2 linked regions of the Drosophila melanogaster genome follow. The protein of the gene in region 2 purifies or fractionates together with the protein of the main gene of each other region. This does not show direct contact. Each region holds a gene or a part of one and is shown on either strand. Other genes may lie near its edges.

Region 1 (9,186 bases), 7.4 Mb from region 2:
TGAAATTTACTTCTTTATGTGTTAAGCTAAAGAGGGCTCCTCTTATGTATTTCTATGAATTGAGTGGATCGTGCATGGATGCTGGGATAAGCCAAGGATTTGAGCTTCGTAAGCGGTTTTGACCCTTTGGTGGGAGTCGTGAATGCGGCTGCGGATGTTTATGTCTGGTGGATTGGGTGCCCTCTTGAGTGGATCGCGCATGGGTACTGATCAGCCGAGAACTTCAGCTGCGTTAGCGGTTTTGACCCTTTGGTGGGAATAGCGAATTCGGCAGCGGATGTTAATGTTTACATTAGGGCAGGCTGGATTTTTTATTGTCACCAGAATTGGGGTTCTTATGGGATACTTGAATTTATGACTTATATCCTAAGGCATTCTATGATTTGGTTTATGCAAAGACACTAGAATAACAAGATGCGTAACGCCATACGATTTTTTGGCACACGATTTTTTGGCCGTGGCTCTAGAGGTGGCTCCAGGCTCTCTCGAATTTTTGTTAGAGAGCGAGAGAGCGGAGAGCGCTACAGCGAATAGCAGACAACTGTATGTGTGCACACGTATGTTCATGCATTGTAAATTTGACAAAATATGCCCTTCACCTCAGAAGTTCTTAGACTTTAAATCTATATTATTTTTGATCAATTGGCACCATGCGAAAAAATCTTGTTTTGCATTGCAAATCCTGATCGTCCTCGCGAAGCAATGCTTCACGGCCATACCGCGGGGGGTCCTGGATTTGCCCTCCTTACTTTTACATTGTTAATCTGTTAATCTTAATCTTAAATGTTCAATAGACGAATTAAAAAAAAAAAAACCTAATCCTGTGTAATCAGAGCACTGGGGACGCGCGCGAGTAGCCGGGCGAATCGAGTTAACGCTCCTGGAAAACCCGAAAATTTTCCGTGTCGCGGCAGCTAAATAGAGACAGGAGTGACTGTCTCTAACACACAGTAATAGTGTAAAAATCACGGAGCAGACCAATAGCCAACCCCTCCGCTTATGAGTCCCCCGTCGGAACTTCACCCTTCACACCCAACCCTTAAGTCCATGACGCTGCGCTTGCTCTCTTGACCAGCCGGGCAGCAGCATAATAAAAACCCATTTTGCGTCTGAGCCAAGGTGGCCGGCGGAATGGTTTGTGTCTGAGCCTCATCGGCCAGCACCGTAACCATCACCTGGCGAATGGTATAGGGCCGCACACCTTGCAGTCCAAGGTTCTAAGGACCCCACCCTATAAGCCAAACGATGGCACCCCCAAGGGGCCATTATAAGTGACCTCCCCCCCAAACAGAGCCCAACCAGCAAGGCCCCCTTTTCTAGAAATCGAGGAGATGGGAGATATATTATACAACGGGGTGAGGAGCATTAATCTGGCAATGAAGAACACATTTGCCAGATTGAAGGATCTCCAACTAAAGCTGCGCGTGAGGCTGCCGGAGGAGGAGAATTCGCATGCCAAATGCACCGCAAGAACTGATGCTAGCCAACAGACCATCCCTAATGGCCTCTTTAGCTATGAAGAACCGAGTAAGGGCAAAGACGGTGTCAAACCAAAGATCGCACGGTGATGTCCAACGCCCTGCACTCCAAGGAGCTGAAGTTGGCGTTGCCGACTCGACCAGCAAGACGGTAATAATGCTGCTCAAAGGTGCCTTGAAACGTGCGACACATACTGAATATGCCATCCAACTGTTTTTCTGTTTTTTATTTTTGTTCTTAGCTAAATGTAATATGTCAAATAAACGAATTTAAAAAAAACCTAATCCTGCGAACCAAACATAGGTGTGTGTTGTGATGGAGGCAACTCCTGCGCAGGCGCGCGATGTCCGTAAATGTGGTGAGCATTGCCACGAATTGTGCGCGCCAAACGCAAATTTTCCTGCTGCGATGCATACGCACTGCCGGTGTGACCAGATCGGTCACTCTTATCGATATCGTTACCAATCCAGCTTACTAGCTTTAATAAATTCTATAAACTTGTATATCGAAAATAAAATTATTATTAATATTATATTAATATCATTTCAAATGGCAATGAATATTTAATTTTAGTAATAAATTGGGGTGGATATATGCTTTTCCGAATGTGAAGAAAACATCATCCTTTCAATATCTGGTTTATCCCTCCCGTCTGAAAATTGTGAAAATACAAGCGATTCCACATTATGAATAAACGGATCTAAAAATCAACTTTAGATACCTTACAATGGATTGTAAGTTGCGTTAGCTTAAGTATGACCTGCAATTAAACAACAAATCAAAGAAAAGTCGTCCCGAGCGAGGAAAAAAAATAATATATGAAACACAAATAATTGTTTTCCAAATGACCAAGTATTACGCCTGACAGAAATGCAATAATTTGTTCTTACATTTATGTGACCCTATCATCATCGAATCATATTTCAAATTCCAATTCCGATTTCGTTATTAGGACATCGGGCTGTAGCCCTGGGTATCGTAATCGATAGTTGCGAAATAGCAGTCAGCGATAGTGTCTGACAAAATCGACGTTGTTCCACCCCTAACAAAGAGTGGTGATCTGAGCGCAGTCGGTTGATTTCATTTGGTTTTTTTTTTAATTATTCGTGTCGCCGCGATCGGATCGGATTTCCCATAATCTCTGAGCGTTCCGCCTATCCTTCAAGTGAAATGTCGCTGAATCCGCAGTACGAGGACATTGGCAAGGGATTTGTGCAGCAGTACTATGCGATATTCGATGACCCGGCGAATCGGGCGAACGTGGTTAATTTCTATAGCGTAAGTGTTGTTGCTTCCCGCTTCTGCTCGTCGCCTTTCATCTCTCCTTTATTCCCGTCTCCGCTTTCGCCTGCACATTTTTCGCTTGCCATCCCCATCACACGCACAGGTGACGCGCGGCGCGCCCTTGAAAAATTCCGCCTCCTTTCAGCAGAAAATGAATAAAGAAACTGTTGCAATGCGAAAAAGAGCGCGAAAAAGAGCAGCTGGAGATATACGGTCGGCGTATCCGTGATATCGTGGGAATAGGATGAATGTTGATAGGGGCGGGGGCAGCGTTCGATTCTCGAAGTTTCGGGTGACACATTACGCCCATGCTCGCATAAATAAATACACACATACGAAATATATGGCCAACATACAACTGCGGTTAGCACAATAGGGCCCAATATACGATATAAATTCGTGAAAAAATTGTATTAATATCTTGAAAAATATGGCATAATTGTGTTTCATTAGTTTCAATCAATTCAGTTTTTTTGTCACATAAAAGAGTAAATGAAAGAATAAAAAAGTCTATAATGATAAAGTATTGAAAATAAAACTATCTGTTTGATATGTTTTTAATTTAAATATTAACAGTTTTATAACCAATTTTGTTCTTAATAATACGAAATATCATTACTAAGTAAAACATCATCATAACACTTATATCATTATATATTTTATACTTCCAGGCTACCGACTCATTCATGACCTTTGAAGGCCACCAAATACAGGGGGCACCCAAGATTCTGGAAAAAGTTCAGGTAAGTCCTGATTATATACAGTCATGGGCATATGTATAATATTTTGCATACCCTTCCTATTCCTGCAGAGTCTGAGCTTTCAGAAGATTACCAGAGTGATAACCACAGTGGACTCGCAGCCAACTTTCGATGGCGGAGTTCTGATCAACGTCCTTGGAAGACTACAGGTAAAACCAGAATTCTCAACAAGAAAACTGTCCTAAACTCGCTGTCGGGGGGAAATTCAATGACTGCCTGCGGCGGCGGTTAGAATATTAGCACTGCCGACCAATTCAATCGATTTTCTTTTCAAGTTTTGAATTTTATTTTTGGTCTTTTCAACACGTAAATGCTTGACAATCGTTTTTGTAACAAATAGAACGTTTTGTTTTGGCTTTCACATAAGAACATTATTTATTTTGCACTGTTTCCCATTTATTTGTTATCATGTATGGGCTTTATTAAGCCTGCCACTTTATTCCATTAAGTGTTCTTCATTCTAAGATACATTATACCCGTTACTAGTGCAGTTAAAGAGTATACTATATTCGTTAAAAAGTATGTAACATGTAGAAGCAATCGTTTTCGACAAAATGTAGTATATATATTCTTGATCAGGATCAATAGCCGAGTCGATCTGGCCCTCTCCATATGAACGTCGAGATCTCAGGAACTATAAAAGCTAGAAGGTTGATATTAAGCAGACCGATCCTAGAGACACCGACGCAGCGCAAGTTTGTTGATCCATGTTGCCACGCCCACTCATATTGTTCAATATGAAATTTCGCGTTCTCACTTCCAGTCGGAAAAGTCGACCATAGCATTCTCTCTTGTTTTGAATATAATATCCATTGACTTATTGATGCAGTTATAGTAGGTAGATAAATGAAATGAATTTTAAAAAGAGTAACTGCCTCAATGTATTTTACGATACCTTATTGTTCAAAGTGGATATATGTAGAGACGTAGAAGCAAATTTCAATCGCCCATCACTTAAGATATGAAATCATTCATCATTCTTCCGTAAAGTCGTAAGGGCAGTGCTATTTGCCGACCGCCGCTGCATCTATTATTCCATATAAGTCACCTGAATCTGAATCGAATATCTCAATTCTGGTTATTACAAAACGAAACACAAATGCCAAAACAAACCAATGCAGACCGACGAGGATCAGCCGCATGCCTATATTCAGACCTTCGTATTGAAGCCGGTGGGCGGCAGTTTCTTTGTGCAGCACGATATATTCCGACTCTCGCTGCACGATGTGTAGCACCAGCGAGCCCGACCTGCCACGCCCAGTCCACAGACTCCAGCGCCCGGCTATATGTGTGTAAATCGAGATCGAGATCAGCAGCCAAACGATCAGCCAGCAGACACGAGACGAGAGCCAGTTAAAAAACGAAAGAAATCCATATCTAAGCGATAAGATAGTTCTGCTGCTTGTCGACCTTATGCCGCCCAGCCATGCCCACTCCGCCCACATATACAAAAATATTTATCCTTGGCGTCTCGTCGTCGTCCAATTTCTTCTAATTATTCTCACAGTACGTGAATGTCCAACGAAAATTAATCAAATCAAAATGTTGCGCATTTCATTTCGTGCATGGTTTTCGTTGATTTTGAGTTGGATTTGCTCTTTCTTTCGGTTGGTCGCTGGGGACCTGGAACCTCCTAATAATGCAATTTTAATGTAACACAAACAATTTCTGTAACCTCTATTGCTTTACATTTTTAACTAAACGGTTTATATTTATATTATATTTTTAGATGCTTTCAATTGATATTGCACTTATAAAAATTCTGTTTTTCATTTGTTACAAAACCAAATACCAATTGACTAGTCTTAACTTGCATATTGTTTTGTTCAATAGCTCGAAGAAGAGAACTGTAAATATCCCAAATTGTTAAGCGCACCCTAATATGCCTTAAAAAAAAAACTTTCAAATGTTGTTCAATTTTGAATGGAACTGAGGAAAGTTTTGAGAAGTTCTTATATCAGTGAATAATAATTTTGCTCGCACATTTGGTATAAAGTTTATTCTGCTCGTGAAAATGTTTTGGAGTTATGTTCAATTTATCGAGCGAGCCCTGTACAGTAAACACGCACCTTACACGATCAATCGGCTGCCAGTTGTACACCCTTTCCCTCTGACCCTGGCTTCAAACTGTGTGTACTCCATTCATATCTAACTCAATACGTTGAAATTGGTTTTTCGCACGCTTGTGTTATTGACTTTAAATGTGACTGGTTTGCCTGGCATCTGCTAACGTATTTATGATTTCATTCCTTTGCAGTGCGATGACGATCCCCCACATGCCTTCTCGCAGGTCTTTTTCCTGAAGGCCAACGCAGGCACCTTCTTTGTGGCCCACGACATCTTCCGTCTCAACATCCACAACTCTGCCTAGGAGCACTCCACTTACCTACGTATGCACACCACTCAGCACCACACATAATCGACATCCAAAGATGCCCAGCGCCAGATGATAACAACAAGCTCGGCAGTGGAACTCAGAAAAAAAAAATATAACAAAGCCAGCCAGCGGTCTCACGATTATCAGCAAATACAAAAGTTAGAAAAAGAAAAAAAAAAAAAAAACAATAAAAAAATAAGAAAATAACGCTAACTACTATTACGATGTCAACAAAATGGGCCGCCAGCTCACCTTCATTTGTGTCCCATTGTTGCCGGTACTCTCGCTTTACGATCCACGGAACCCTAGAATTATATGTTCTGCGAACACCTGGATCTCGCGATCTAATTTAGCTAGGACTATCGAATTTGGTGGTATGTGCCGTGCTACAAGCTCGTATTTCGAATTCCCGTGAAATGAGCAGGAACAGCAGGCCGGGATCATCGCCTACATAAGTTTAGAGTGATTTTCTAGACCGTTTATATTTCCAATTGAATTATTTGTACTTTAATTATGAGGATTATTTTAGATAGCCGTATTGCAAATGTATTGTGTCGAGTGTCTCGCTCTGTAAACAATTACTTGAGTACCGGGACTGCACCACACACAGTCGCAAGTATCGACTCTTGCTTTCTCATATGACTAATTGAGCGATGGCGAATTACTTTTTATTGAGAGAAAAAAAAAACACTTAAATATAAAGATAAACGTTAACAGTTTGGTTGTTTGTATGATTGGCGGAATGGCCAGTTGAACCGGAAAGATATGTATACCCTTATAAGCTATTAAATGCATACGAAAGAAGCTCCAGCGGATCTGGCCAGTGGTTTCCGTCTAAAAACTGAACGATTCACTTGTCGCGAAATGTGAACACCGCATCGAATCCGAATAGCACCCCATTGACGATGGACAGCGAGGCCTTGATGAGCGCGAGATCCCGAGTTCGGGTGCGGAAGGAGAACTCCCAGGCCTCAATGATGAACACACCGCTGGCCACGAACAAGGTGCAGCCCAGGACGCTGAAGAATATATCGATGCGCTTGTGAATGGGTGCCCGCATCAGAACGCCTGCAATTGCAAGGTATCTTAAGTAGATTTGTGTGCAAATTTCGTTTTTGGTTAACTTATTTTAGTATTTTAACTCTTAAGGACTGGCATTCCAAGGCGTACCTGCAAAGACCCCGATGACCACTATGATGTAGCCCGTGAAGGTGCCAGTGGCCAGGAACGAAGTCATTATATCGCGATCGTTGAAGCTGTAGAAGTGGAGCACCAGACACGCTACCGCAAAACCCTGGAAAAGTGAGGGGATTTTCATTTGTGGTGCTTCTTGGTGTTCTTATAATTTCCGAGTCTATCTGGTATTTCGGGTCTTTTCTTTTAATTCCCAAGTCGTTTTTTTTTTTTTTTTTTTTTTTTTTGACAAACCATTGTTTAGTAAGCATACGCGTTGCTTTTTGCATTAATTCATTAATCCTTAGAACTTGCAGTAAAATCACTTGAAAAAAAAATCCTTTACCAGTTCGAGAAACTTGACCACATTGAGGCGGCCTTTTCGCTCGCCATGAGACATTTTGTGAAACTGCTGCCGCTGACAGTCCTCGAAAATGTGGTCCAGCTTGAAAATGTACGTGTCGCAACTCAAGAAAGTTCCAAAGTTCTTCCGATTGGCCTCTTTGGAGCGTGCTCGCGACGGCAGAGCGCTGGACAAACTGATTCTGATTCGGAAATGGATGACGGATGGCAGGCAAATGCGGCTGCAGTTTGCAGTTGGGCGCAGTCGGGCCCAGCCAGCGAAATTAATTAATTACACTTAGGAAATAGGCTTTTCATTCTTGTTCCCATCCCTGTGTATCCGCCCACGTCCACCACGTCCGCCGGGCCTCTCGGTTCCATCTCTGAAGTGGAGACCGTCTGCGTTCTCCGCTGCCAGCTGCACTCGAGCCCCATCCCTTCCAGCTTGATTGAGTGGAGCATAATGTCTGTATCTGCATGCATGCTCTGTGCCGGTGGGTGGCCAGTGGACAGTGGGCAGCCGCCCAATGGACTCGGACTCATTGTGCTCGCATTGCCATTACCCCAAATTTGCTGCCTAACCTTCGGGGCCCAAGATCGGAGCTAATTCGCGGAATCGGGGCCAACGGGTCGCCAATTTTCCGATGGTAATCAAGTGGATAATGGAAAACATATCGCCGGGGAAATCACTTCCTCAAATCATGAATAATCTTATGGACTTCATGGGAATTATTAGGTTGTAAGGTTGTGTTGCAACGCTTTTCAGATATAAAAGTGGATTTGTAATGCATGGAATATATTTTTTAATATATTACAAGTACTGTACTTTTTAAGTGCAATTAAAAGCTTAGAGCAACATAAAAAGTAAGCCGAATTTTATATACCCTTCACCTATAGTAACTTAGCTACCACTAGCTTGGACGACTACAGTCGTCCTGTTTTAATAAAATGTATTTTATTTCTATTTATTTTTCCTGTATTTTTTACGAACGTTAAACTGCAAATCCCATTCCGCTCGCTCCTAGTTCAGCTAAATTATATAGTTTATATAAAATTAGATTAGTAATTACATTTCCGACCCGGCCTGTTATTGCCTTATCTAATACCTGCAATAGGTTTAATAGTTTAAGTAAATACGATTACGTGGAAATAAACAGACACGGTAAGATTTAGTTGGGTGTCAATTCTGACTAAAAATATATATCTAAGTAATATATACTTTGTTCCTGACTAAAACAATAACACTTCCTGTGTTCTATGGTCAATTTGAAAACATGCAAAATAAGTTGTTACAGCTGAACAAATCTATTTTTAATTTTTAAATTAGTTCTCTATAGAGTGTTTATGCCACATGTTGAACCTATTTATCTTAACTTAACATCAACTGCTTTATTAATTTCAAAACCTAACCATTAAAATAAATATATGTTTTTAGAATAATTTCGGCTGGTAGCAAGCAGAAGTACATATACGATTATTTATTATCAAAAGCCCAGCTTATCAGTTTGAAGGCAACTTTTGATATGATTCAACGCAGACACAGGTGCGCATTGAAACTATATTTAGACCTTCTTATCGCTTCAATGTTTTGATTAATCCGTATTTTCTGTTTCAATTTTGAAAATGCATTTTTCAAGACCTTACTACCAGAACGAAATCCAATTGAGCTTTGGCAAGCTTTTTGTTTCAGCAATTTTACGGTAATTAGCAGCAATTCCCATGCTATTGTAGTTCTATTAAAAGTTAATCGCCAGCACTTTACAGTGACAG
Region 2 (5,960 bases):
GAAGTCGTTTGAAAATCGCACAAATCATCACTTTTTTTGTTTCTTTGCCTTTGCCCCACTCCAGCCAGTGGCTCCGCTCAAACGGCCACCCCTGCCCAGAGTCAAAAGACGAAAGCTCAGCTGCCGAACGGTGGCTTCAAGACTGCCGACGATGGACGCCTGATCATCAGCGACAAGGCACTTCGTGGCCAGGGCGGTAACGATCAGTCCGATGACGACTCGGATTCCGATGCATCCATGGCGTATGGCACTGTAGCCAAGCAGCCCAAGGTTAAGCGTGGCATGGAAGACGATTCGAGCGACGAAGATAAACTGCAGCAGAAGCTAGTACCCAAGCGTGTACGCAAGGGTGATGATGCGATGAGCATGAAATCGGGCAAAACCACTGCCAGTAGTCGCTACACTGCCGGTGGCAAGGGCATTCATCGACAGCTGACAGCTGGAAACTCGGATGCCATGTCCGTGAAGTCAGGCAAATCCACCAGCCGCCCAGCGGGCAGTGAGTACGGCAGCAAGAAGGCCAAGGGTGATATGAAGAAGAGCGGAAAACTGGATCCATATGCGTATATACCACTCACTAGGAATAACCTGAACAAGAGGTGTGTATCCAAAATGTTTAATATTATTAATATACCCGTCCCTATCTAATACTCCATCTCTTTCGCCCCCAGAAAACGTTCAATGAATTCGCGAAAATTCAAGAGCGTATTGCGAGGAGCTGGCGCTGAAAATGGAGGAGCCGGCGGTGGCCGGGTGTCCAAGAAATACAAATAGGGCAGACGATTCAAGCCAACTGGCTAACAGGCTCGTAAAGCTATAGAGATATAGAGATGTATAATAACACTGGGATAGTGCGGTCTGTTGATAAGGAAGCTAAGACGTTGATGATTATTTCCCCTGTTACTTTGCTTAAATATATAAATATAACTTAATATATATATATGAACATGTGGAGACGTTGTAAATGCCACAGATAAAGAAAAACAGAAACAGAATAGTTATGTATTTTTTTTTTTTTTTGTTTTGATCTGCAAAGACTTTGAATAAAGAATTTTGAAAGCAACATAGTTCGATGCGTGGCAGAAAGAAGAGCAGTAACGTTAGATTAAATCCACACAAGCTTTATGTTCTTTAAAGATATAGTAAATATGACTATTTATTATCGCAAATGCCAGAGTCAAAATACAGATTGGTAGAATATTAGCCAATTAGGTTATTCTACAAAAGAGGAAAGTCTTCGAACGAGATAGTTGCGTCAAGAAGTTGCGTCATCCTGTCCGTGGTCAAACGCCGTTTTGAAAATCCTTTTCAATGTGGGTCTTGTTCCATTCGCCGTGCGGATCCAATCCAGTCATTGTCTCCTCAATGAAGTGCATCTTATTCTCGCTGTCCACCAGGACAACGGAGTGTGTACGGCTGCCATAGGCATGCTCTTCGATATGGACGTTTAGGGAACTCAATCCCTCGCCCCAGTTGGGCGCACGTGTCTTTAGCTCGTCGTCCGGCCAGAATTTGTGCTTGTTGCGGAGCAACTGCATCAGCTGGGCGGACAGAGTCTCCACGCTGGCTTCCCCATGAGCCTTAACGATCGCCTCGAACTCCTGTTTGCCATGACGCACCTTCTCGAACGGAGAGTGCGGCAGACTGTTGCCAAATCCGTAGCACTCGCCGTTCTGGAAATCCTCCAGCGTGGGCGGCACATTGCTCAGCAGCTTCACGCGAGCGGGCTGGGATGCAGATCTGTTGAGAACGAAGGCGTGCAGTAGATGGTATCAATGTTTCGCTAATGGTTCCCTAATGTTATTGCATATTATTCAGAATTTATACGTATAATTCGGAGATAAAGACAGCATAAAGCAATATATGTACATACTAATATGCATATAATTAGAATATATAATAATTCAGGTTAACCTGAATGGGCGCAGACTCACCCAATTTCGATGGACACAAAGTTGAAGGCAGAATACTTGGTGCAATCTTTGAGCAGCCTTTCGTTGTAGTTCAGGATGCTGTGCTCCTCGTCCGCCCGGGTAACATAGTCCGCCACAATCATGCCGCGCCCTAGTAAGAAATGTTCGTTATTCGATTGCCCCCTACTCGGATTCGTATTCGGGTTCTGAATTGGATTCGGATTCGGATGACGGTAGCTGTTGGAGGTGGTGGTCTTGGGGCAAAGGTTAATGCCGGTGCTGTTGCTGTTGTGATTATGCGGTTGCAAAATGTTTTTGTGCGCTTCAAACAGAAAACAGAAACGAAGAAAGTTTGTTTTTGCTTTGCTTTTTCTTTGGTCGCGGTTGTGAAAGTTTTAGTTCGGGCCAAGTGTTAGGTGTATGGATGAGTGTGTGTGCGTGTGTGTGCGCGTCAATTTGGATTAGTAAGTAGCTCAAATGGGTTTACCAACTGCATCGCGTGGCTTGGGCTCGCCGGTCAGATTGAGCAGGGCGCCCACCTTAAAGAAGCCAGCGGAGTGGCCGATCGCCAGCCAGGTGCCGCCCTCGCGTCCCGGCTCCAGATCGATCCCTGAAATGGGGGAATACATAAATATTTACTCAAGTTGATCCCGCACTCATGGGTAAGATGGCTTGAAATCCAATTAGGTTGCTGGGAAACAGATCTTGTGAGAGGTGTTCATTCTAACAAACTGCTATCAAATCATCTTAGTGACTAAACTATAGGTAACATCTTGATGAATACAAGCTCTCAAGGATTATACTCCATCTAAGCATAGGCATTCAAGGGCATAAGCCCCACCACTTACCTCCGTAAACATGATCGGCATTCGCCCACTTGGCTGCCGATAGGGTGGCGCGGGCAAAGAACTCGTCCCGATTGGAGGCCAGGATGAGCTTGTAGCCACCCGGTTGCGGATTCGAGTCCGCACAAAAGAATATCACGCACATCGTCGGAATCCTATACTTATTTGGCTATTGTTGCGATTTGTAGTGCCTTGAGGTTGTGGGACAACTGCGAATGGGATCCGGAAAAGTGGGCTTTAATCTCGGTGGGGCGTCGGTATCAAAATGGCAGGTTGTTCGGCTCAGTCTTCTCTTTGTTACTTTGTGGCAGTGGAACTATAGCGCCGGTTTTATCACCAAATAGCCGTACGTACGTACAGCTGATATACAGTCTTATCCGTTGTTTGCGAGACCAGCTAATCTAAGTGGTAAATGTAAATGGTTTGGATTGGTGGGTGTTCTCTGTGAGCCGTGCCTCTATGTGATATATACATATCTACGGGGCAAAAAGCATTCCCGTTAACGCAAACAAAGCAGTATTTTCTGAAATTTCAATGACCGGGTTGCCTTGTTTTGATTTCTCTTTTAATTTTGTTTTTGTTTTGTTTTGGCGTTGCCAGCTGACAGGAGAATCGATAAGAAAATCGTTAACACTCTGCTGCCCTGTGCAATATTCTTTTAGCTATTTTATTAATTGCTAATTATTTATTTGTGCAGTCTATGACTTATCTTAATTTGTACTTTTAAATTTGAAGATTTTAGTTCCTCATCGTGCGCTGAAACAATGATTGACCAATATGATTGTGTAATTTATTTCCAAAGCCATATATAACGTATATATAAACATATTAGTTTTTTTTGTCGCCTGTGCCGATCCAGATAACAAACTACTATTTTGAAATTGGCGTAACAGGTAGGTAGGCATTATCGCCAGTTGCCCATCTCTATTGTATGACCGTGGGCCCGGCAATCGATTGGCTTACAACTTATCGATGTTTGAAAACTAACCAAAAACCCTGTAACATAGGCTTGTAATTAAAACTAGAAAATACCATTACATAGCTATGCACTGCAATGCATAAATTAACTAACAGACCTATACAGGCCCTTAAATTGGTAAGAAAACTGATCGCTAAAATTAAAGCGAAAGAGTGGATTTTTTAGGACAAAAATACCGGTCGGTCGAGAACATTTGGGGGGAAAATCATGTCGCCATCTGGTAACACTGGCATTCAGCAGAGCAGTGAAAACGACGTTAATATTTCTGATCAATTAAACAATTGGAAAATCCGGCCGCAGATCGCGATCTAAACGTATCGCCCTCGCCACGCCCACTGCCGCCCACGCCCCCTGGCGCGGGGTCACATCGATAGAGAGCTTTGCGTGTGTGTGTGTGTGCGTGCGTGTATGTGTCGGTCGAGAGGAGAGGTGGAAGACGAAGAAGAATAAAAAAAACAGGCAGCGAAAAGCGATAAGAAACGGAACACAACACACTGGAAAAAAATTGCGATAAGAAACGGGGCGGAGCGGAGCGGAAATTGCCAAGACTCTGGGATGGATTAGCGGCACAGCCGGACTCTGAGGTTAGCCAACAGTGGGATTAGGACCAGGAACAGCCATGTCCTCCGCCGTTAACATCCAGATCGTCTCTATGCCGAATCTGGCCAAGATCGAGAGCTTCCTGAAGGATGTCAGCTACCGGGAGACGATCGAGTACAGTGCCAACTTCAACACGCGCCTGTGCAGCGAACGGCGCCACCGGCTGCCCTTCCTCGATCCGCAGACAGGCGTCGCCCAGAACCACTCGCAGCTCTTCCTGGACAAGCGACAGCGGATGCCCGGCTTCCGGCAGGGCCAGATCTACACGTATCCGGCGGCCCGCTGGCGGAAGAGCCGTCGTCAGTACTTGAGCAAGATGTACAGGTGAGGAATCGTAACCAATCGGTGCGGGATTTGAGTGACTGGCACATGCACAAGGAAAAGTTAGGTATAACTCTGGCGAAGCAAATTAGAGCTTGGAAATCTAGGAGTCTGTTACCTATGGTAATCTTATTTAAAACGAGTTAGGTTAGAAGAATATCATCTGTGTATATGCCATTCAATCTCATCAAATCCTACATTTTTCGTTGGGTGAGCTCCATATTTATCCCTGCTAATAACGAACTTTCCACTTATACAGCCGCTTTCCCGAGCGTCCCTTCCAGGCGCTACGCAAGGAGCACGAAGCTCTGGTGGCCAGCGGCGTCAATCTGGGACTGAGCAGCCTGACCAGCGGTGTGGGCTCCATGCCCGGCAGCAATAGCCTGGCCAGCAGCTCCTCCCTAACGCTCAATATGCTTACGGGCGGCGGAGCCGCGCCGGCCGTACTTGGTTCCCTGCACAGTGACACTGCCCACGATTTTAATGGAGCCTTCAGCCTGGAGGAGTCCAGCTCGCTGGGTGCCGCCGGCGGTGATACATCCGACAGCAAGGACAGTCAACAGCAACAACATCAGCAGCACCAGCACCAGCAGCAGGCCGTCAAAGAGGAGCTTTTGCCCAAGGAGTGGTTCTACGATGACATGGATATGAACGATGTGGACTCGCTGGAGGAGCCCAAATCGCCGGCGGATGATGAGTACGATTATGATCCGCGCTATGGTAACAAAAAAAGGCGCAAGCGGCGACCAGGCAAGCGAGGTGGAGATTCCGGCGGCGGTGGTGGTGGAGGAGGCGCCGGCGGTGGCGGCAATTCCGGCGGTAGCTCCAGCTCGCGGAGACGCAGTGCAGCGGCCAGGTCGCGTATCACAACGACGGATGCGGCGCTGGACGCATCGCTGGAGGCCATTGAATCTGGCGAGAGTGTGCCAGGCAGCAATGGAGGACCAATCTCCAGCGGAGGCATCCTAAGCGGCAGCCTGGGAGCAGGCTTAGCGGGAGTTTCGGGATCCGGCGGCGGAGGAGGAGCATCGGGAGCTTCGGCCAACAGCCGCAGATCGCGGGGAGCGGGAACACGTGGCAGGCGACGAGCCAAGGGGCCAAATAGCGCCGTTGGAGCGTCTTGCGATCCGACAAGTCCCGGCATGGTCATCGAGCCACCATCCTTCGAGAGTGCCGCTGCTGCGGTGGGCGTGGTCGAGGACGCGAACGCCCATCTGCGCAACTATCGGAAGTATCTGTAACCGCTCTATCAGCAACTAACTGGACGTGTAATCAATCAAAGCCTTGTTTTTCGCAATGTTT

Evidence for each region.
Region 1: the proteins of Tango2 (region 2) and Ntf-2 purify together in Drosophila melanogaster (affinity purification with mass spectrometry, with the first as the bait; one large-scale study listed by BioGRID). This does not show direct contact.

What each region holds. Positions count from the first base shown.
Region 1 is NC_004354.4:21,032,965-21,042,150, forward strand, and holds Ntf-2 (nuclear transport factor-2), read left to right. Parts: upstream 1-2,504; 5' UTR 2,505-2,649; coding exon 2,650-2,757; intron 2,758-2,866; exon of another isoform or gene 2,867-3,126; intron 3,127-3,434; coding exon 3,435-3,506; intron 3,507-3,574; coding exon 3,575-3,673; intron 3,674-4,645; coding exon of another isoform or gene 4,646-4,756; exon of another isoform or gene 4,757-5,030; intron 5,031-5,781; coding exon 5,782-5,895; 3' UTR 5,896-6,751; coding exon of another isoform or gene 6,752-6,969; 3' UTR 6,970-6,982; intron 6,983-7,050; 3' UTR 7,051-7,071; coding exon of another isoform or gene 7,072-7,195; 3' UTR 7,196-7,420; coding exon of another isoform or gene 7,421-7,474; 3' UTR 7,475-8,503; downstream 8,504-9,186. Other genes in the region: CG15449 (uncharacterized protein), read right to left, coding at 6,752-6,969, 7,072-7,195, 7,421-7,474.
Region 2 is NC_004354.4:13,614,377-13,620,336, reverse strand, and holds Tango2 (transport and golgi organization 2), read right to left. Parts: upstream 3,349-5,960; 5' UTR 2,904-3,348; coding exon 2,762-2,903; intron 2,524-2,761; coding exon 2,401-2,523; intron 2,236-2,400; coding exon 1,935-2,235; intron 1,741-1,934; coding exon 1,284-1,740; 3' UTR 1,130-1,283; downstream 1-1,129. Other genes in the region: CG2691 (uncharacterized protein), read left to right, coding at 65-599, 672-774; tth (toothrin), read left to right, coding at 4,357-4,661, 4,918-5,899. UniProt on the Drosophila melanogaster protein: May play a role in Golgi organization.